Linked DNA regions of Caenorhabditis elegans. The protein of the gene in region 1 purifies or fractionates together with the protein of each later gene. This does not show direct contact. Each region holds a gene or a part of one and is shown on either strand. Other genes may lie near its edges.

Region 1 (9,866 bases):
TTTTAGAAATGAAAATCCTAGAAAAGTAATAAAAATTATTAAACACGTTGGTTCTTCGTCTTCTTATTCTTCGAGTTCTTCTGAAGAACGAAGTAAACGTAGGCATAAAAATTCACGCCTCACTCACAGTTCACGTTCACGCCCAACTCGTACCTGTCCGAGAGATTGGATCACTTTTGAGAGGCCTCAAGGCAGATGGTGTATGAAGGTAGTTTAAATTATAGATTTACCGTATGACTTGAACATTCACAAATCTGGTTTATACCGCAAATTAAATTTTACAGGCGTTCTACGGAAACATGTTCCAACCAGAGGCCGAGGCAAAGTGCAACGCAGTCGGAGCAAGACTCTCAGGGCTTCAGAATGCCAATGAAAGGATGACTATTTCTTGTAAGCTCAGAATTATATAAGCAAACTCTTTCTGATCCTGAAGATGTCCTCCGTGGTTTGATATACCAGCACGGTGGTGGAAGGTACACAGCATGGCTCGGCGGAAAAAGAAGAGCTCGCTGCCCAACCGGTACCTCATGTGCCCGACTGGACAGTATCGAGTGGACAGATGGGCATACGACGGGTACTGCTGGATTCTCAACTGGCCCTCGGGAACTCGACGGTTATTATTTACCACAATACGGGTTAGTGAAACTTCTGTTGGGATGTTGGACACGGCATTCAATAACCAAATCTTCAGAGGAGTTCAACAATGTTTGCATATGATTGTCACTCCATATTCGAATACCGAGCTAGGATTCGCAGACTTTGTTCATGAATCAGTGGATGATGAGTTTTGTCAAGCAACATGGGTTAAAGCATACGTCTGTGGAAAGTTGCCGAGCTAACTTAAATTATGTTTTTCTAAATTAAAGTTTTCCACTGTTATTGTTTAAATGGTTAATAATAAGTAAAATTTAGGCGCCATTGACCGAAAATATATGGAAAATGATTTTTATTTTGGTGGCCATGCAGGATACCTTTCTCTATGTTGCCTGATTTTTGTAAATCGCGTATCCAATAGATGTTCTTCGCCAGGAAATCGTCGGTGAGATTAAAATGAAGATATGAGACGGAACGAAACATGCGACTCCCAGAAATTCAAGTAGAATTTGCTGAGAAAAACTGAAATACTATGAGGACTATGTGTCCAAAACCATGCCTCAAAATCTGTAAGCTCCCGGTCATTGCACCCATATCTTGGAGTTACTGGCCCTGACGATGACTGCCTTCTGTTTTTGGAATTTGCAGGTTTTGATGAACGTACCTTGTTTAAAATAGTGTAAGATTCCACATTTAGAAGTGAATGGGTTGATGTACTATGTTTCCGAGTTGAGAGCTTTAGGGCCTGTGTGATGCATCATGCTGTGGATTCGGCTTTAGAACTTAAAAGGTTTCAGCTATCGAGTCAATACTTTTTTGAAACACCAATTTGTGTTTTTAGTTATTTTTATTTATCCGGAAGTTATTTGGTTTGTAAGTTTCGAAGTATTGCTCCCCGTAATAGCTGTGCGATTTTTCTCAATGTACTTCCTTTTATCTCTTTTTTCCATTAACCCAATGGTGTTTGATCATTTTCCACCCAACCGCAACATTCTAGGAGAAAATTGCAACATCGTGCCTAGTTGGAAGCGTTACGGAGATGACTATCTAAATTTTTTTTTTTAATAACAGTGTCCTGAAAAATTTTTTTTTTGTGTTTTTTCTTATATATTTTTTACTTAATTCATAGTAAAATCCTGAAAAACTGAACAGTTGTAGCTTTACGGCTGAGTTATTCCTCCTGCATTAGTGGATGGGGCGGTTTTCTGTGAAAATTTTTGACTTTGAAATCTTTAAGCTCCTTTCATTTTGTGCCCAGTTGTGCACAAATCCGAGCCATGTCAGTAAAGGTGTGAGTTTTTCACTAAAAATACACTTGAGCTACCCGCACAGCGTGAATCTCAAAGATCATTGATCTTATAATTTCCTTTGTCTTAACCGGGAATAAACCGGAATTCCAAAATAGACTCTACCAGCTTGAAGCTAAATATCCTTAGTTCAAAATGGTAAACCAACATTTTTCCAGCCGTGTCTTCTCTAATCGGATCATCTTGTCATGCCTGAAACACTAGTCGCAATTTTTTAAAGAGTTTTTGATTTTCGAGATAGGAAAACACCGTCCAGCTTTGCCATTCGATTTTTATGGATTTTATTCATAGTTTGAAGGCGATTTATTTCTTTATATGTTTCGTTTGAACCTTCTTCTACAGATTTGTTAACTTTTAGCATTAATTCTACTTAAGGAATCTTCTCAAGTGATTTTTGATTTATTTTTATGAATTAGATGAACCAAAGAAATTTGCCGCATCAGGTTTTCATATAGGCGTCTCACCTGCCTGTCTTATCTGTGCCAGCTTTCTAACTACAACTTTTAAAGGGAAATTTATTCGAATTCTTAAATATACTGTATCTGAAAATCATTCATAAAACTTCAATATTAATAATCAAATAAAACAGATAAGTTTGCGCAAGACATGTACATGAAATTGTTAAATAAAAGGGTGCCTACCGCAAAACCGTTTCCAATTTTTCTCAAAAGTTCAGGGCATCAAGCAGAAAATTTCCATAACATGATGGAGGTCTGATGCTATCTCAGTTTCTAACTGACGATTTTGAAAAATGTCCTGTTCAGGTTTCTAGCTTGGAAATGTTCCGATAAAGCAATGACACCGTTGTGGTAATTAGGAATATTTGCAGAGAAGTTGCTGGTATTGGTTTTTTTTGCTGTATCGCTGGGGACAAAAAACCGGAGGCGCCCAACTGCTATAGAACCTTCGTTTGAGAAGTTTATGATATTTATAAACTTTTCAGGAAACTCCGATATTGGTATCGGTTTCAGCTCAAAAAAAAACAATTACTCAACTGCTATTGGACCACCTGAAATTTTCCAATTTTTTGGAAAAAAAACCAGCATTTTAATGATAATATTTGACAAAAAGTTAGGCGGTAGATTTTTTTTGCTCTCTTGCTCCAAATTTTTAACCTGGAAAAGTTCAGAAACTTCCTAAATCGCACAGAAGTTGGGCGTACTGTAGGATTTCCTCAAAAATCTCAGAATTGGTCTTTTAATTTTTCGAACTAGATGAAAAAGAGCGATTAGCAATAAACCGGATCTCATGAATCTCGGAAACTCAAAATTTTTCGCTGGGTACCTCAATATTCCCACTCCGATCAGGCTTCTCCAACAAAACTGAACTTTCTTCGTTAGTACTCCTGCCTACTGTAATCCTATAGCAAATACCCTCTTAGAGCTTTTTTCCCGATTTTATTTTTTTTCCTGATTTTCAGGGATAAGCTAATCTAGATGCCAGCTTGTTTTGTTCGTCATTACGTATTTTTCGTAGTTTGTGGGTGTCCTATGCATTCTAAAGATCTTTCTTCTCGTTTTTATCGGGTTTTGGATTACATTTGAAAATTGAAGAATCGACAATATTGAGGTGGTATTGCTAATGGACCTACAAAAGTTCAAACCAAAACCTTCAAAACGGCAGGATCTTCAAGGAATTCGAGGGCTCGCTATTTTATCAGTACTTGGATTTCATTTCTTGCCCGGTACATTTCCGAATGGATATCTCGGAGTTGATCAGTAAGTTCCACTGAGTCTAAAACTTGGGTTTGACTGTTTCGTCTGACACATTTCTAGAATCTAAAACTGAAGCAACCTGAAGATCCTTTTGATCTTACAAAAAGCTGTTACAAGTAATCATTTCACTTTCCAGATTCTTCGTGCTCTCCGGCTTTCTCATGTGCATGCTGCTCAAACGAGCTGAAGACCAGTCCCCATTCTCTCTGATTACCTTGTTCTATTCCAAAAGATTCAAGCGAATACTTCCGCTTTATCTCCTCATCATCCTGATCTCTATGATTTTTCTCTATAACTTCTTTCCGGCTACCGCTATTGAAACCAACAGGTCTTCCGCAGTTATGTCATTGCTTTTCGTGTCCAATAAACCAATGACTATTGAAGAGGACTATTTTGAAATGGTTTTTATTATTTGTTGATCATCAAAAACTCCTCACTTCAGCTCGCCATCGCCGTGAACATTTTCACCCATACCTGGTCCCTATCCGTAGAGATTCAATTCTACCTTATTGTTCCCTCCATCTACATAATCGGAAACAAGATACCCCAGAAGCTTCAATATGGATATTATGGAGTCATAGGTGAGATTTGAGCTTCTGGACTTCACTTTTATGCTCAAATTTCAGGATTATTCTCAATTGGCTATTACTATTCCTCCCCAGCTACTGTGGCGTTTAACAGTGTGTTTGCTAGGATTTGGCAGTTTTTGATAGGTTCTAACGACTGTTGGTTACAGAGTTTCATATAAAATTTCAGGTATGCTAGTCTACGGAGCTTCGCAAGCTAAAATCTCAAGTGAAAGCTCATCAGTAGGCGATAAAGAACCACTACTAAGTGATGAAGAATCTCAAGATGTAGAGCGGAATCCCACCAATGTGAGCAAAGATATCATTGAGAAAACTTCAAGTTATATCCTAATTCTTACACTGGTTTTTATAACTACCTGTCCATTTTCGCTAAGTTCAGATTTTGGAAGGTACCTTTATTATAGGGATTCGTTATAAAAATTTATATATGTTTCAGACCACTCATCACAATTGGGACAGGGCTATTGATGCTTATCTCCAGTGGAAATCAATTTCTATCCAATAGAGTTTTAACTTATATCGGTGACATCTCATATTCACTTTATCTCATTCATTGGCCAATTTATGCATACTGGAAGCTTACCTACGGGGGTGATTCGTATTGTGAGTTGGGAAGTGGGAATTTTGATTTATATGGTTATATGGTGTTCTGTTGAAGCATATAACAGAACGACTAATACTTACAACTGCAATTCTATTTGACTTTCAGTACTAATTGTTGCCTTGGCTGCTTCCTGCATTCTTGCTGTCATTTCCTTCGAAGGATTCGAAAAGTGGTACCTTCACCTGTCTTTAACAAATATTGGGGTCTTAGTTGTCACCTTATTCCTCCTAAATGTGATTGTGATTAACAAGGACGATATCTTGGATCGCGTACACTTGAGGACCAACTCAAATAGAGATATTGTAACCAGTAACATGACAGTGGACGACGCGATTCGATTGAATTACCAGTGGACAGTGAGAGATTATGTGAACTTTTACACGCCAACTTGCAAGTATGCAGGAACGAAAAACTCAGAGAGGTGGTGCAGGCATACGGTAGGCAAAATTTTCGTTATGTGAACTACAGTACTACACTATATTTCAGGGCCTTCAAGACTCCGGCAAGTATAAAATGGTCATATTTGGCAATAGCTGGGCGGATAATCATGCCACGTTGTTCTATCAAGAATGCCACGCCAAGACAAAGAGTATCTTGCAAGGATGTTCATTTGGTAAATTTAAATTTAAATTCTTTACCCTACATGTCATCAATTTTAGGATGTGAACCTCTTTATCCATTTGAGATTAGCAAAAACTGTGAGCCAGCCTCTACGCTTTTTGAGCAGCAAATCAAGAATGAGCAGCCGGACTATGCGTTTTTGTTCACGAGATTTATGAATATAGGACATCCAATTCAAAAAACTATTGAGGAAGATCCAATCTACCTAATTATGAAAAAGAAGATGCTTGGTTTTATTTCAAATATCAAATATAAACTGTACATCCTGGATGCCATACCTCGAGTACACAGGGAAACGGTATCGAGAATAGCACCGTTGGTGAAAGAAGGCAAAGATTTAGCCGAAATTGATGTATGTTTTTTAGTGAATTTCTGAAATTGAACTGATACTTTTATTTTACAGACCCTCCTGAATGACTTTATTGATTATGAAGCAGCTCGGACTCGTCACGCACAACTCCTTAAAGATTGTCAGGGAAAATGTGCGCTCGTCGATTATCTCCCAGAATTCTACAATAATTCCACTAGAACATTCCGGTTTTTTGACGACAAAGGCTTCTCGTACCTGACTGAGGAGAACCACCTTTCACCGCATGGTTTAGAACATGTTAGACATGTTTGGACGGACATTTGTAATAATTTGTAAATCTTAGAATGCTGAAATTTTTATCAGAGCTTTAATTTTTCGGGTAATACAGGAAATGTCTAAAATAAACATTTTTATTTAGCTAACAAAAAAATGTTCTACTTAAATTTTCCAAAATATTCTTCCAACCACTTGTTAGTAGTCATTTTCCCACTATCATTTTAAATAACGAAAATAAAAAATCCTTATTCCAATCAAATCATCAAATTCTCCATGAGCATCTGCACCCGTGGCTCATCCTTATCACAAGTTGTTCCACAACAATAAACTATGAACAAATTATTATTTTTCTCCGTAACAAAGATACGTGGCGTTGATGATTCATTGGTAGCTGCAAACTTTGAGACGATGTTTGAGTTTACAGGTGTTGCCCTTAGAAAATCGATATCTCCAATAGAGAATTTGTCGGCAGAAGTTGATATTGATGTTAGAGAAGTAATAAGGTTCTGTAAAAATTGAAATATAGATTTTAAAATACAGATTTTTGTTTTAAATTAATTTCAGAATTACAGTACCACTGAACTACAAAAGTGGTGAGTTTCTGATTAAAATTTCAAAGAAAAATTGTGATTTTTTTTAAATATTTTCCAAGATGATTAGATTTATCTAATCCAAAATATAAATGGCTCGGTAATTTCCAGACAGATTGGAACTTATATTATTTTTACTCAACAATATAATATTCATAAATATTTTCCAAAAAATCATACCTGCTCCACCTGTCCCAAAGCGAATTTAACCTGAATCTCGCCGGAGCTTAAGAAAATCGCGAGCTTAAACGATGCGATATCATCAAATTGATATTGAATATAGTCTTCTAGGTCCTGAACAGTTTCGCACATAATATATATTTTTTGAGAAAAATGTAGAAATTATTCAGAAACTTTCAATTTTATGCCCGTGAAAATGATGATAATGACAAATATTTGATTGCAATAGTGATAAGGTGATAATTTTTAGTTTGGTGTTTTGTTAGGCAGGGGAAACTGAAAACTTGAATTTTTGGAAATACGCATTTTGTAGTTAAATGAATTTAGTTATTTGAGAGCTTTTTTTTGGAATAAAAATAATTTATCATAATTCCTGAAAGATAGGGAAAAAAAGCAAAATTCGTATTTCTTTGTTAGTTAACAATTTTTGCGTGAGGGAGCTACAAGAGTTTCAAATTAGGGACATCCCGGAGACGCAGACAGCTAGCGTGTCTTGTTGTCTGCGCGCACCCTCTCTCTCCCCCTTTCTTATCAGGGCTGTGTAGCAGATATTAGAATTTGCCGAGCTCGAAAAACCCCTAGCACCCCGTAATTATGAGCCACCCTGCCGCTGATCAGTTACAAGATTTTGTAGAAATAATTACCGTAATAAAACTCCGCAAAACCCCTCAATATATAAATCCACTATAATGATCAATGTTTCTTATTCATCATGCATTTTTTTGAAACTCATTGCATGTTTTTCGTTGTTAGTTCCAATTGCGACAGTTTTCTTACGTGGCGGCAGTAATCGGGGCAATTCCGATTCAAGTAGCTCATCATCAGAGGAAGGTTATTATGGAGGAAAGAAGCATCATGGGGGGCATCATGGGGGACATCATGGAAACCGTCCGCCACCTCGCCCAACGCCAAAGCCTTGTGACGACGATTGGCACGCATTTTACAGACCGCAAGGAGTTTGGTGTGTCCGGGTAAGATTTAATCTAACTAATTTTTCGTGATTCCTAGTACTGATTCCAGATAGTAGCAGCAACTCTGGACTATAATGGAGCTACGACGGCGTGTTCAAACCTCGGCGGTTCTCTTTCCGGTATTCAGAGCAATGAAGAACGCATTTGGATGGCCAATAAAAGTATGGAAATATTGACTGCAAATGGACAAACGGACTCTGGAACGTGGCTCGGCGCGAGTTGTACTATTCGTGGATGTGTCTGGACAGACTGGAACACTGTTGGCACTGAAGGGATGTTGTGGGCTCCTGGAGAGCCGGCTAATCTCTAGTGAGTTAAAGTTTCACTAGAAAATACGAAAAATTAATTTGCAGCTTTTCCCCACCATGCATATACATCTACTCATTAGCTGGTGCGACACTTTCACAGAAACCGCCAAATTCCAATGGATTCATTGATGACTCGTATTGCCGTGGGTATAAGACAATCAACTCCTATGCATGTGGAAAAGTTGGATTAAGAAATAATTAATTAATCTTACTTTTTTGGGTAAAAGTTATTATGTTTTTTTTTGAGTTCTGCAAACTGTTCCAAGACTCAATAAAAGAATAGTCAAGAGTACAATTACATAGAGTATGTGTACACAAAAAAAACAGAAAACTTTGTTCAAATATAGACTCGAACCCCGGTCGTCAGATTGGCGACCCAATTGTGACCCAATCTTTGAAAAAAATCTGTGAGGAAAATCCCAACATAGAACCTAATAATAGTTTTTTTGTGGTTTGTTACATTTTTTCTCTGAATTTGCTACAAATTGGCACAATCTTGAATTGAACAATTTATTTTTCTACTGCTACTAGCAAATCGGAGATTTGCTAGGCTTCGCGGTTTGGTTCGGCGTAGAGTAACTCAAGAATCATTCGCTTTATTAATATTTAGCCAAGTGTTTAGTAAATGTCAAGTAAATGTGCTGAAGTTTGTCAAGACCGGCCAAATTTAGTTTAATGATAATTTTATAAATAACAATTTCCACTTTTCAAATTTTTTTTGCTTAAAATAGGCTTAACAGCTGTCCAACGCTTCTATGTGTATTCGGGCCTGCGGTCCTCAACATGAATTATTGGGCTCAGAATAGGCCTAAAAGTTGTCCAACACTTCTGCGTCTATTTGGGCTTGCGACACTCGAACTGAATTATTATGCTAAGAATAGGCTTGACGGATCTCCAACACTTCTTCGTGTATTCGGGCCTGCGGCCCTCAACTCGAGTTTTTGGGCTCAGTATAGGCTTAACGGCTGTCCAATACTTTTGTGTATTCGGGCCTCCGGCCCTCAATCCGGTTAACTGACCTAGGTGACCTTTTTCATTACCTTTCCAAAAACATACGTAGTTATAGAAACATACCTCTCAGAGAAGGCCTCCAGCCTGCTCTGCTGGGAGTAGGGATAGAAAAGGCCTAAAGTTTCAAAGAGTAAGAAGGCGGCCCTAATCCTTGATTTTTGGGTTTGACTGAAAACCAATAGCATTGCAGGCCTCCAGCCTGTCCTGCTGGAAGTCAGGTTAAAAGTAGCCAACATGTTCAAAAAGTGCGGCCCTCAATTAGATTTGGGAAAAAGTAAAAATCTCGAAAAGTCTTCAAAATTGAGTTTTCCTCACGTTATTAAAAATAAGAAATGAAAATTATCGAATTCATCACCAAAAATAGAGAAAGAGAGAGAGTGGTAGAAAAGTTTTTCACGTTTAATTAATCTTTTTGATTTTGCAAAAATTGAATGATGGTCTACATTTTGGAAAGTGGGCCAATTTTTTTCAAAATAGTTTCAAAAAATTGGAAATACGAAGTTCTCTCTTGCGCACAAATTGGAACCAAATGTCAGAAAAACTGAAGATTTGGGGCTGAAAAAACATGAAATTCGTCAGTACAAAGAATACATCCATTTCGACCATACTCCAGAATTCCGCTCAAATCAGTGTTTTAGCCTTCCCAAAAGCGCCCCCCCCACAATGATGACGATGGAAGGCGCTATTTTTGTAAGCTATTGAAACAAATTGCTCAAAAAACCGCCAATCCTAAGCCAAGATATAAGCTCTCAAAGTGCAGTCACATTTCTCGGGACACCCCATGTCGACAAC
Region 2 (8,036 bases), on another chromosome or scaffold:
GAAAAAGATCCAGAAGAAGAAGAGGATGATAGCAGCAATGCAGAAAGTTCAGAGGAATCAACTGCTCCACGTCAATACAGTCTTCGCCGCCGTCAACCAGTTGTCCAGTTCAATGCATCAGAAGCTCGTGAAAATCGACGGGCTCGTCTTGAACATCATCGGGTTGCAAATCAAAACAGACATCACCGCAATCGAAATGGATCTCGTCGAAGACGAAGCGATTCGGATTCTGATAGTGATGATATGGTGCTTCCGAGACCTGATAAACGTCAATCGAGGCCTCATATGCATAACCGTGGAGAACGTGAACGTGGTCGATTTATGCCGATCAATATGACCGAAAAAGAATTGCAGTCTGCCCAACACATTCTGATGGATCGAATGAGAAAAACTGATGCTGGTCAAGGTGCAAGTGACATTGATCCAATGAGTGTTGATTCGTCGGTTGGTTTCGATCAAGTTGGAGGACTCGGTCATCATATTCAATCTCTCAAAGAAGTTGTCCTTTTCCCAATGCTTTATCCTGAAGTATTTGAAAAGTTCAGAATAAATCCGCCAAAAGGTGTCGTATTCTATGGGCCCCCAGGAACCGGAAAAACTCTTGTTGCACGTGCTCTTGCGAATGAATGCCGAAGAGGAGCCAACAAAGTTGCATTCTTTATGCGAAAAGGAGCTGATTGTTTGAGTAAATGGGTCGGAGAGTCTGAAAGACAACTTCGACTATTGTTTGATCAAGCATATGCCATGCGTCCATCAATTATCTTTTTTGATGAAATCGATGGTTTAGCTCCAGTTCGTTCTTCGAAACAAGATCAAATTCATGCGAGCATAGTGAGTACATTGTTAGCACTGATGGACGGATTAGATGGTCGAGGAGAAGTTGTTGTAATTGGAGCTACAAATCGATTAGATACTCTTGATCCAGCTCTACGAAGACCAGGACGTTTTGATAGGGAACTCCGTTTTTCCCTTCCTGATTTGAATGCCCGACGACAAATTTTAGATATTCACACTTCCAAATGGGAGGAAAACAAACCGATTCCGGAAACACTCGATGCTATTGCAGAGAGAACTAGTGGATATTGCGGTGCCGATTTGAAATTCTTGTGCACAGAAGCAGTTCTTATTGGATTGAGATCTCGATATCCTCATATCTACATGTGTTCTGAAAGGCTGAAACTCGACGTTGCCACCATTAAAATCACTTCTGAGCATTTTGGACATGCAATGCGGAGGATCACACCTGCTTCCAGACGAGATCTTACAATTCCATCGAGACCATTGGATGAACGAACTTCAATTTTACTTGGAGATACTGTGAGCAACTTGATTTCGTTGAGAATTCCACAAGGATATCGATGCGTGGAAAATGCAATGGCGACAGCTTCAAGCGAACTGGAACAAGTTGTTAGGGCATTGGAACCTAATCCAACCGTGCCTGCTATTCGTCTTCTTCTATGTGGATCTGAGCAACTCGCGGACGGTGGACAAACGTCTTACGTTCTTCCCGCCATTCTAGCAAAACTGGATCATCTACCGGTGTTCTCTCTTTCTGTTTCAAGTCTTTTAACAGATGGACGTCCAGAAGAAGCATTTTCAAATGCAATTCAGTCGGCAATGCGTGCATCAGCAACCGGCCCATGTATCATGCTTCTTCCATCAATCGATGAATGGATTAAAGTCATTCCTGTATCAGTTCAACATATGCTTATCACATGTCTGGAATCAATGACTGGTTTCACGCCGATTCTTTTCCTATCGACGCTTGACACTTCGTTTGAAGATGCGCCTGAATATGTCACGGAAATTTTCAGACATGCAAACTGTATCACGTGAGTATAACTAGAAATGTGTTTTCAGAACATTTTTAAAATATAATAATTTTCAGTTTGAATCCTTCCCGCCGAACAATTCGTCAAAAATATTTCGAGCACGTTATTGAGAAGATTAACACTCCACCAAAAGTATTTGATCGTAAGTCTCAACGAAATACAATTTTTTAAAAATTTTAAATCCTTTGTCCATATTTCAGCAACAGTCTATGAGATGCCTCTACCAGATGACGATTCTCCCGATTCGAAGCCTTCTAGAAAGCTCAATGATGACGAGACAAGAGAACTTTTGAAGATGTACACTGCTTTGCAGCGACAAATGAGATTATTCTTCAAAGAGAGGCTCAGTGAGTTTTAATATTCCGCATGCTCAACCTCATTGAATATTTTCAGCACGTCTTATGCGAGATCGTCGATTCGTTGAATTTGTCGAGCCCGTGGATCCGGATGAGGCTGAGGACTATTATGAGATTATCGAAACACCGATTTGTATGCAGGATATTATGGAAAAGCTGAATAATTGCGAATATAATCATGCGGACAAATTTGTTGCTGACTTGATATTGATTCAAACGAATGCTCTCGAATATAATCCGTCGACAACAAAAGACGGAAAACTGATTCGTCAAATGGCAAATACACTTCGAGATGCAATTGATGATCTGATCGAGTGTGAACTTGACGAATCGTTTGTCGAACGAATTGAAACAGTTTCACGAATGCTACAAGACGCTGGAGTAACTCCAACCTCTGATAAATTACTCACAGAAATTCCCAAAGGTTTTGCCCGAAAAAAGGCGTGGTCTATGACCAATTCACTTGCAAAAGAAATTGAGCAATGGACATCAGAGCGTGAAGCTGAAAATCAAAAAATGTTGAGCAAGCTTGGTGTAGCTGCTCCAACATTGGAACTCGTTGTTGTCCCTGTAGAAGATATGAAAAGTGAAGAAGGAACGAGCACATCAACTGATGGAGTTCCAGCTTCTGCTGGAAATAAAAAGAAATTGCTCAAAAAGAAGAAGGGTCAAAAGAAAAGCAAAACCGGCGAATCTGAAGAGCACGATGAAGATAGTACAGTTGAAGACGCAGGAGAAGATACAATTGTAGAAAATCTTGAAATCAAGAAAAATCAGGAAACTCCAAACAGTGAACATGATATCGAGATGAAAGATGCTTCTAAAGATTCTACACCTTCCGTGCAAATTTCGATTGCTGAGAAAGAATTGATAGTTTCGAAGCCAGCAACATGCGAGCTGATTCAGTGTTGTGTCGAAAAGTCGGAGGGTTGGTCAGTCAGCGAGTTGGAACGTTTGTCTTCTGTTCTATCACATACAATTGAACGATTCCGGTGAGTTATATGATTTTTTATTACCTCGCTGTTCTTTTTGTTTGAACTAAAAGGAAATGTTAAGGATTTTTGGAACGTTTTAAAACATAGAAAACATTTATTATGAAGGTTGTTTATATTTTTGAAAATTTCAAAAATTGATAATTTCGTTATTTTGAAAAAAAATTGAAATTTTCAATAATTTCCGGTTAATTGAAAAAATTTCAATTCAATTGAAAAAATGCTCGTAATTTTCTGTACATTTCTTCGGCTTTTCCGTGATTTTCCTATTTTGATATTTTCGATATTCTCTGAAAAATCCCGAAAAAATTGTAGTCACAATGTAGAATAAAATAAACAATATTTATTTTTAACAATTAAATATTATTCAGGGACGAATGGAACCGCGAAAATCTACCAGCCCAACTTACCCAAATTGTACGTGAATGGCAAACAGCTGACGATTCGAACAATACAATTGTTAATGGAACCCTCAACAAATCGAATGGAAATCTTGCCAATGGACACTAAATGATGTCCCATCCTCCTCTTCCAATCTACCTCCGTTTATCGATTTTATAATTTCAAACTGAAATCCGTTTTATCATAATTTCCACCAGTTTTCCTCTTGTCAAAAACCCCTTTGTGCGAAAGAAAACTTTCAAAATAAGTGCGGCTACCGTGATACTCACCTATTTTTCTTTGTCCATTTTTATTCAAATTAAATCTCTACCATAATTAATTCCCCTCCAATTTATTCGAGTGAGCATTGCCTGCCTCTCGGGTGTATTCACGTGCCCTTCTATTATTTCATTAATCTTTTCCATTATCTTTAACCTGGTCTTTCGAAAATGAGTAAATTGTGAATCATTCGATGTTTAATGCTAATACCTATTTTTGTTTTAATGATCCGTTTAACTTCGGATATTTATATATTTTCGATTTTATTTTAAATTTATAATATATTCAATCATCTAAACTTTTTCTTTCAGATGGACTTTCAGAACAGAGCTGGAGGAAAAACGGGAAGCGGAGGAGTGGCTTCGGCCGCCGATGCTGGTGTTGATCGACGGGAACGGCTCCGCCAGTTGGCTCTAGAGACAATTGATCTTCAAAAGGATCCGTATTTCATGCGAAATCACATTGGAACGTACGAATGCAAGCTGTGTCTTACTCTTCACAACAATGAAGGATCTTATTTGGCACATACACAAGGAAAGAAGCATCAAGCGAATCTTGCACGGCGTGCCGCTAAAGAACAATCTGAACAACCATTTCTACCAGCTCCACAGAAAGCTGCAGTTGAAACTAAAAAGTTTGTGAAAATCGGACGTCCTGGATACAAGGTAACAAAAGAACGTGATCCAGGAGCTGGCCAGCAAGCACTTCTCTTCCAAATTGATTATCCGGAGATTGCTGACGGTATTGCGCCACGTCATCGATTTATGTCTGCTTATGAGCAAAAGATTCAGCCTCCAGACAAGAGATGGCAATACCTCTTGTTTGCTGCTGAGCCGTATGAAACGATTGGATTCAAAATTCCATCAAGGTGAGGCTTTACAACATTTTAGCACTTTTCTATCTCATAGTTACGATTAAAAAAATTGTATATACCAAGTAATTTTTTCCAGAGAAGTTGACAAATCTGAAAAATTTTGGACGATGTGGAACAAAGACACGAAGCAATTCTTCTTACAAGTCGCATTCAAATTGGAACGACTCGATGATCAGCCGTACTATTGATACTCTATGTTTTTATCTTTTTGATTTCAAAATTCAAAACAATTTTTTCGTGTTTTTCGATGATCTAACAATAAATTATTTTCCTTTTTTTTAATGATGATATTTTATTTAAATCAAGTATAGGTTGACTGATCCGTCTACAATGTCTATTCAATTAAAATTATAGTTTTCATAGTTTAAAAAATCAGTTTCAGATGGCGAAGAAGGTTGTCAAAAGAAAAGCTGAAGCAGTGTCCGCTGACGCAGAAGCCGTTGCAGAAGCTCCGAAGAAAATCAAGAAGCAGAAACCAAGTCTTCCAGTCTCTGAACCTGATAATTATCAGGCTGGTGGATTATCAAGTCTCTTCGGAAAGTCGTCAGAAGGAGCAGCAGTACAAGAGGAAGTTGTGAAGGGAGATAAAGTAATTGAAAAACCTAAAAGAAGAAAGTATGATCCAAAAAAAAAGGCTGAAGAAGAGAAGGCAGCTGATGCTGCTGCTGCTGCTGAAGAAGTTGCACCTGAAACAGAAGGAGAAGAGAAAAAAGATGAAAATAAGGAAGGAAAGCGAGACAGAACGAAGCAAAGAGAGAATAGAACTCTTCAAAAGTCAAATGCACGTGCTTCAGCTGCTGAAAATGCTCTGACTGTTTTTGTTGGAAATATGCCATTGACAATGAACGAGAAATCAGTCCGTCGAATTTTCTCCGACTTTGGAACTATTTCCTCTGTCCGTATGAGAAATCTGCTTCCTGCGAATGAGAAATTGACGAAACGAGTCACTCATTTGACAGGAAAATTGAATGACAAACAGAGTTCTCTCACGTTCTATGTGAAATTCGGAGCAGAAGAATCAGTGGAGAAAGCTCTGAAGTACAATGGAACCAAGCTGGACGATCATGTGATTCGTGTTGACAAAGTTGGAAGTAAGAAGAAAGAATTTGGAAAGGATATGGCCATTTTTGTTGGAAACTTGCCGTTCGAGATTACCGAAGATGCTCTCATTACTTTTTTCTCTGCACAAATCGGACCTGTCGAGGCTGTCAGAATTGTCAGAGATAAAGATACTGGAAAGGGAAAAGGATTCGCGTTTGTCAATTTCAAACAAGATTCTTCTGTGAGTCTTGCATTGAGCATGGAGACTATCAAAATGGAAAAACGCGACTTGCGCATTACAAAAGTTATGAAGAAGGGACATTTGACGGTTTGTTTTTTTTCTTCGAATAGTTCTTCAATTTATAATTTGTTTTTCAGAAGATCCAAACTGCTAAAAAGCGAACATCTCACGGAAAGAAGAACCAGAATGAAATTACTGGAAAATTGCACAAGTTCAAGTTCTCCACCAAAAAAGAAAGGTTTGTAAATATGTGGCATTTTGTCAAAGGGCCCGCGCGCGCAATGTCATTGCCCGGTTCTTCTCTATTTAAATCGTTCAGCGTAGCGCAGTTGGGTGTGCGTTTGTACTCGAGGTCGGCGCCCACGAGTTCGACCCCCACTGCTTGCACGACTGCAACCTGCTTTCGGAACTTTACCGTCTGCGGTACTTGTAGTGCTATATGAGCGTGGGCCCTCCGTGTGCGTGTAATTTAATTGAACTAGCACTCCGTTGGTCACCGGATAATTTTGTTTTTCTTTTCAGAACAACTGAGCAAAATGATCGTCGTGCCTTGAAGAAGTCAGCGAAGAAAGCCATTGCAAAGAAGAAGGCTGCAAAGAAGGGACGTCTGATGGCATAGGTTTTTGAATATTTTGTTTTCATCTATAACTTTGTTGATTTGTTTTGTTTTGTTATTTTTATCACTATAAAAACAGTTTTTTAAATCTAATATTTTATTCATCAAACAAAAAACTATCACAGAGAAAAATACAATAAATGCAAAAATTACTCACAGAGAGGGAAGAAGGCAATAAATGAAAAACACCCATGAAGAACAAGGAAGCAAAATGAAGCGAAAGAAAACATAAACGAGAGTAGTCGAAACTAGAGATCCAAGAAATACATAATTAATGAATGTTAATAAAAAAGGAACCCAAAAATCTATTTATGCCATTGATTCTTTGTCCATGGCTGGTTTTGAAGAATGTACATTTGATACAGGGGGCGGAGCAACTACAGTAACCTCAGTCGGCTCATCATCGTCACCATCGTCCCAGTTTCCGTAGCTGGCAACTTCTGCTGTTCGAGTCTTGTTCAATCGATCGTTCAACTCTTTCAATGCTTTTTGTCTGAAAAAATTAGCATTTTAACTGGAACAAATCAAAGAAATCAAATATTTACCTCCGTCTCTCCGAGTCTTTTGCAGAATTCTCCAGCGCAGGCAAGTTGATTCCAACGGATCCTGATTGTAGAGAGTGAAGATCAACATGACGAACTTGTCGTTTGCAGACGCCCATTCGAGCAAGGGTTCTGAAGCAAACTTTTCCAATGAGAGTGAAGAAGAGTTGAGTGCGAGACGGGAAGAGGCTGGCCCACGTGAAGTGCTCACTGCCGTCTCCATAGATTTCGTCAGTTTCATGGGGTTTGTAGAAGCGAAGATAGGTCCAAGAAACTTGAACACCGATGGTGATTTGGAGAAATGACACCTAAATCAAGAAAAATTAAATTATTCCATTTGATTTTATAGAAACTTACAAAGTAAGTAAATTTGGTGAGAGCTAGAATAAATGAGACAAATATGGCCAAGAATGGAAGGTGAGCATATTTAATACGTCCAAGTGGTGTTGCCAGGACAATGGTGTCAGGAAGAAACTGAAAAGAGCCATTATTAAATATTCAGTTTCTTTCAGATTCATGTGTTTGCCCACCTGCTTCATGAGAACCATAACCGACGCACAAATCGGAGTCATACCAACAAGTGGTTCAATGTAGAAAAATTTGATAGAATCGAATAAAATGTAGGTGAGATATGCGAAGACTACGATGACAAAAGTGGTAACACCCTGAGTAATTGCATAAAGCTTCAGAAGAGACTCATTTGTATTGTTGAGACGGACGAGATTCGTTCCGAAATGAAGACACCAGACTGTCCACAGAACGTCGAGTACATTGTGACCGCAGAATGTGCTTGTCGCGATACGCCAAAGCTGGAAAAATGAAATTGTTTCTAATTCTGAAGATTTTGTTCTATACTTCAATTGAAGCAATTTGATAAGGGTG

Evidence for each region.
Region 2: the proteins of oac-17 (region 1) and repo-1 fractionate together in Caenorhabditis elegans (co-fractionation; one large-scale study listed by BioGRID). This does not show direct contact.

Annotation. Positions count from the first base shown.
Region 1 is NC_003279.8:13,188,191-13,198,056, reverse strand, and holds oac-17 (Acyl_transf_3 domain-containing protein), read left to right. Parts: upstream 1-3,411; 5' UTR 3,412-3,482; coding exon 3,483-3,619; intron 3,620-3,752; coding exon 3,753-4,017; intron 4,018-4,058; coding exon 4,059-4,197; exon of another isoform or gene 4,198-4,242; coding exon 4,243-4,329; intron 4,330-4,372; coding exon 4,373-4,592; intron 4,593-4,639; coding exon 4,640-4,806; intron 4,807-4,912; coding exon 4,913-5,244; intron 5,245-5,293; coding exon 5,294-5,420; intron 5,421-5,466; coding exon 5,467-5,780; intron 5,781-5,831; coding exon 5,832-6,074; 3' UTR 6,075-6,155; downstream 6,156-9,866. Other genes in the region: clec-109 (C-type lectin domain-containing protein), read left to right, coding at 1-208, 285-390, 434-635, 692-839; F17B5.8 (Fuz_longin_1 domain-containing protein), read right to left, coding at 6,269-6,520, 6,785-6,916; F17B5.10 (C-type lectin domain-containing protein), read left to right, coding at 7,474-7,755, 7,805-8,064, 8,109-8,265.
Region 2 is NC_003282.8:12,080,327-12,088,362, forward strand, and holds repo-1 (Splicing factor 3A subunit 2), read left to right. Parts: upstream 1-4,151; coding exon 4,152-4,708; intron 4,709-4,790; coding exon 4,791-4,902; 3' UTR 4,903-4,994; downstream 4,995-8,036. Other genes in the region: lex-1 (Tat-binding homolog 7), read left to right, coding at 1-1,832, 1,889-1,974, 2,033-2,179, 2,226-3,180, 3,552-3,690; rbm-34 (RRM domain-containing protein), read left to right, coding at 5,097-6,083, 6,134-6,234, 6,519-6,615; F11A10.6 (Transmembrane protein 115), read right to left, coding at 6,922-7,105, 7,158-7,462, 7,512-7,628, 7,685-7,963, 8,010-8,036.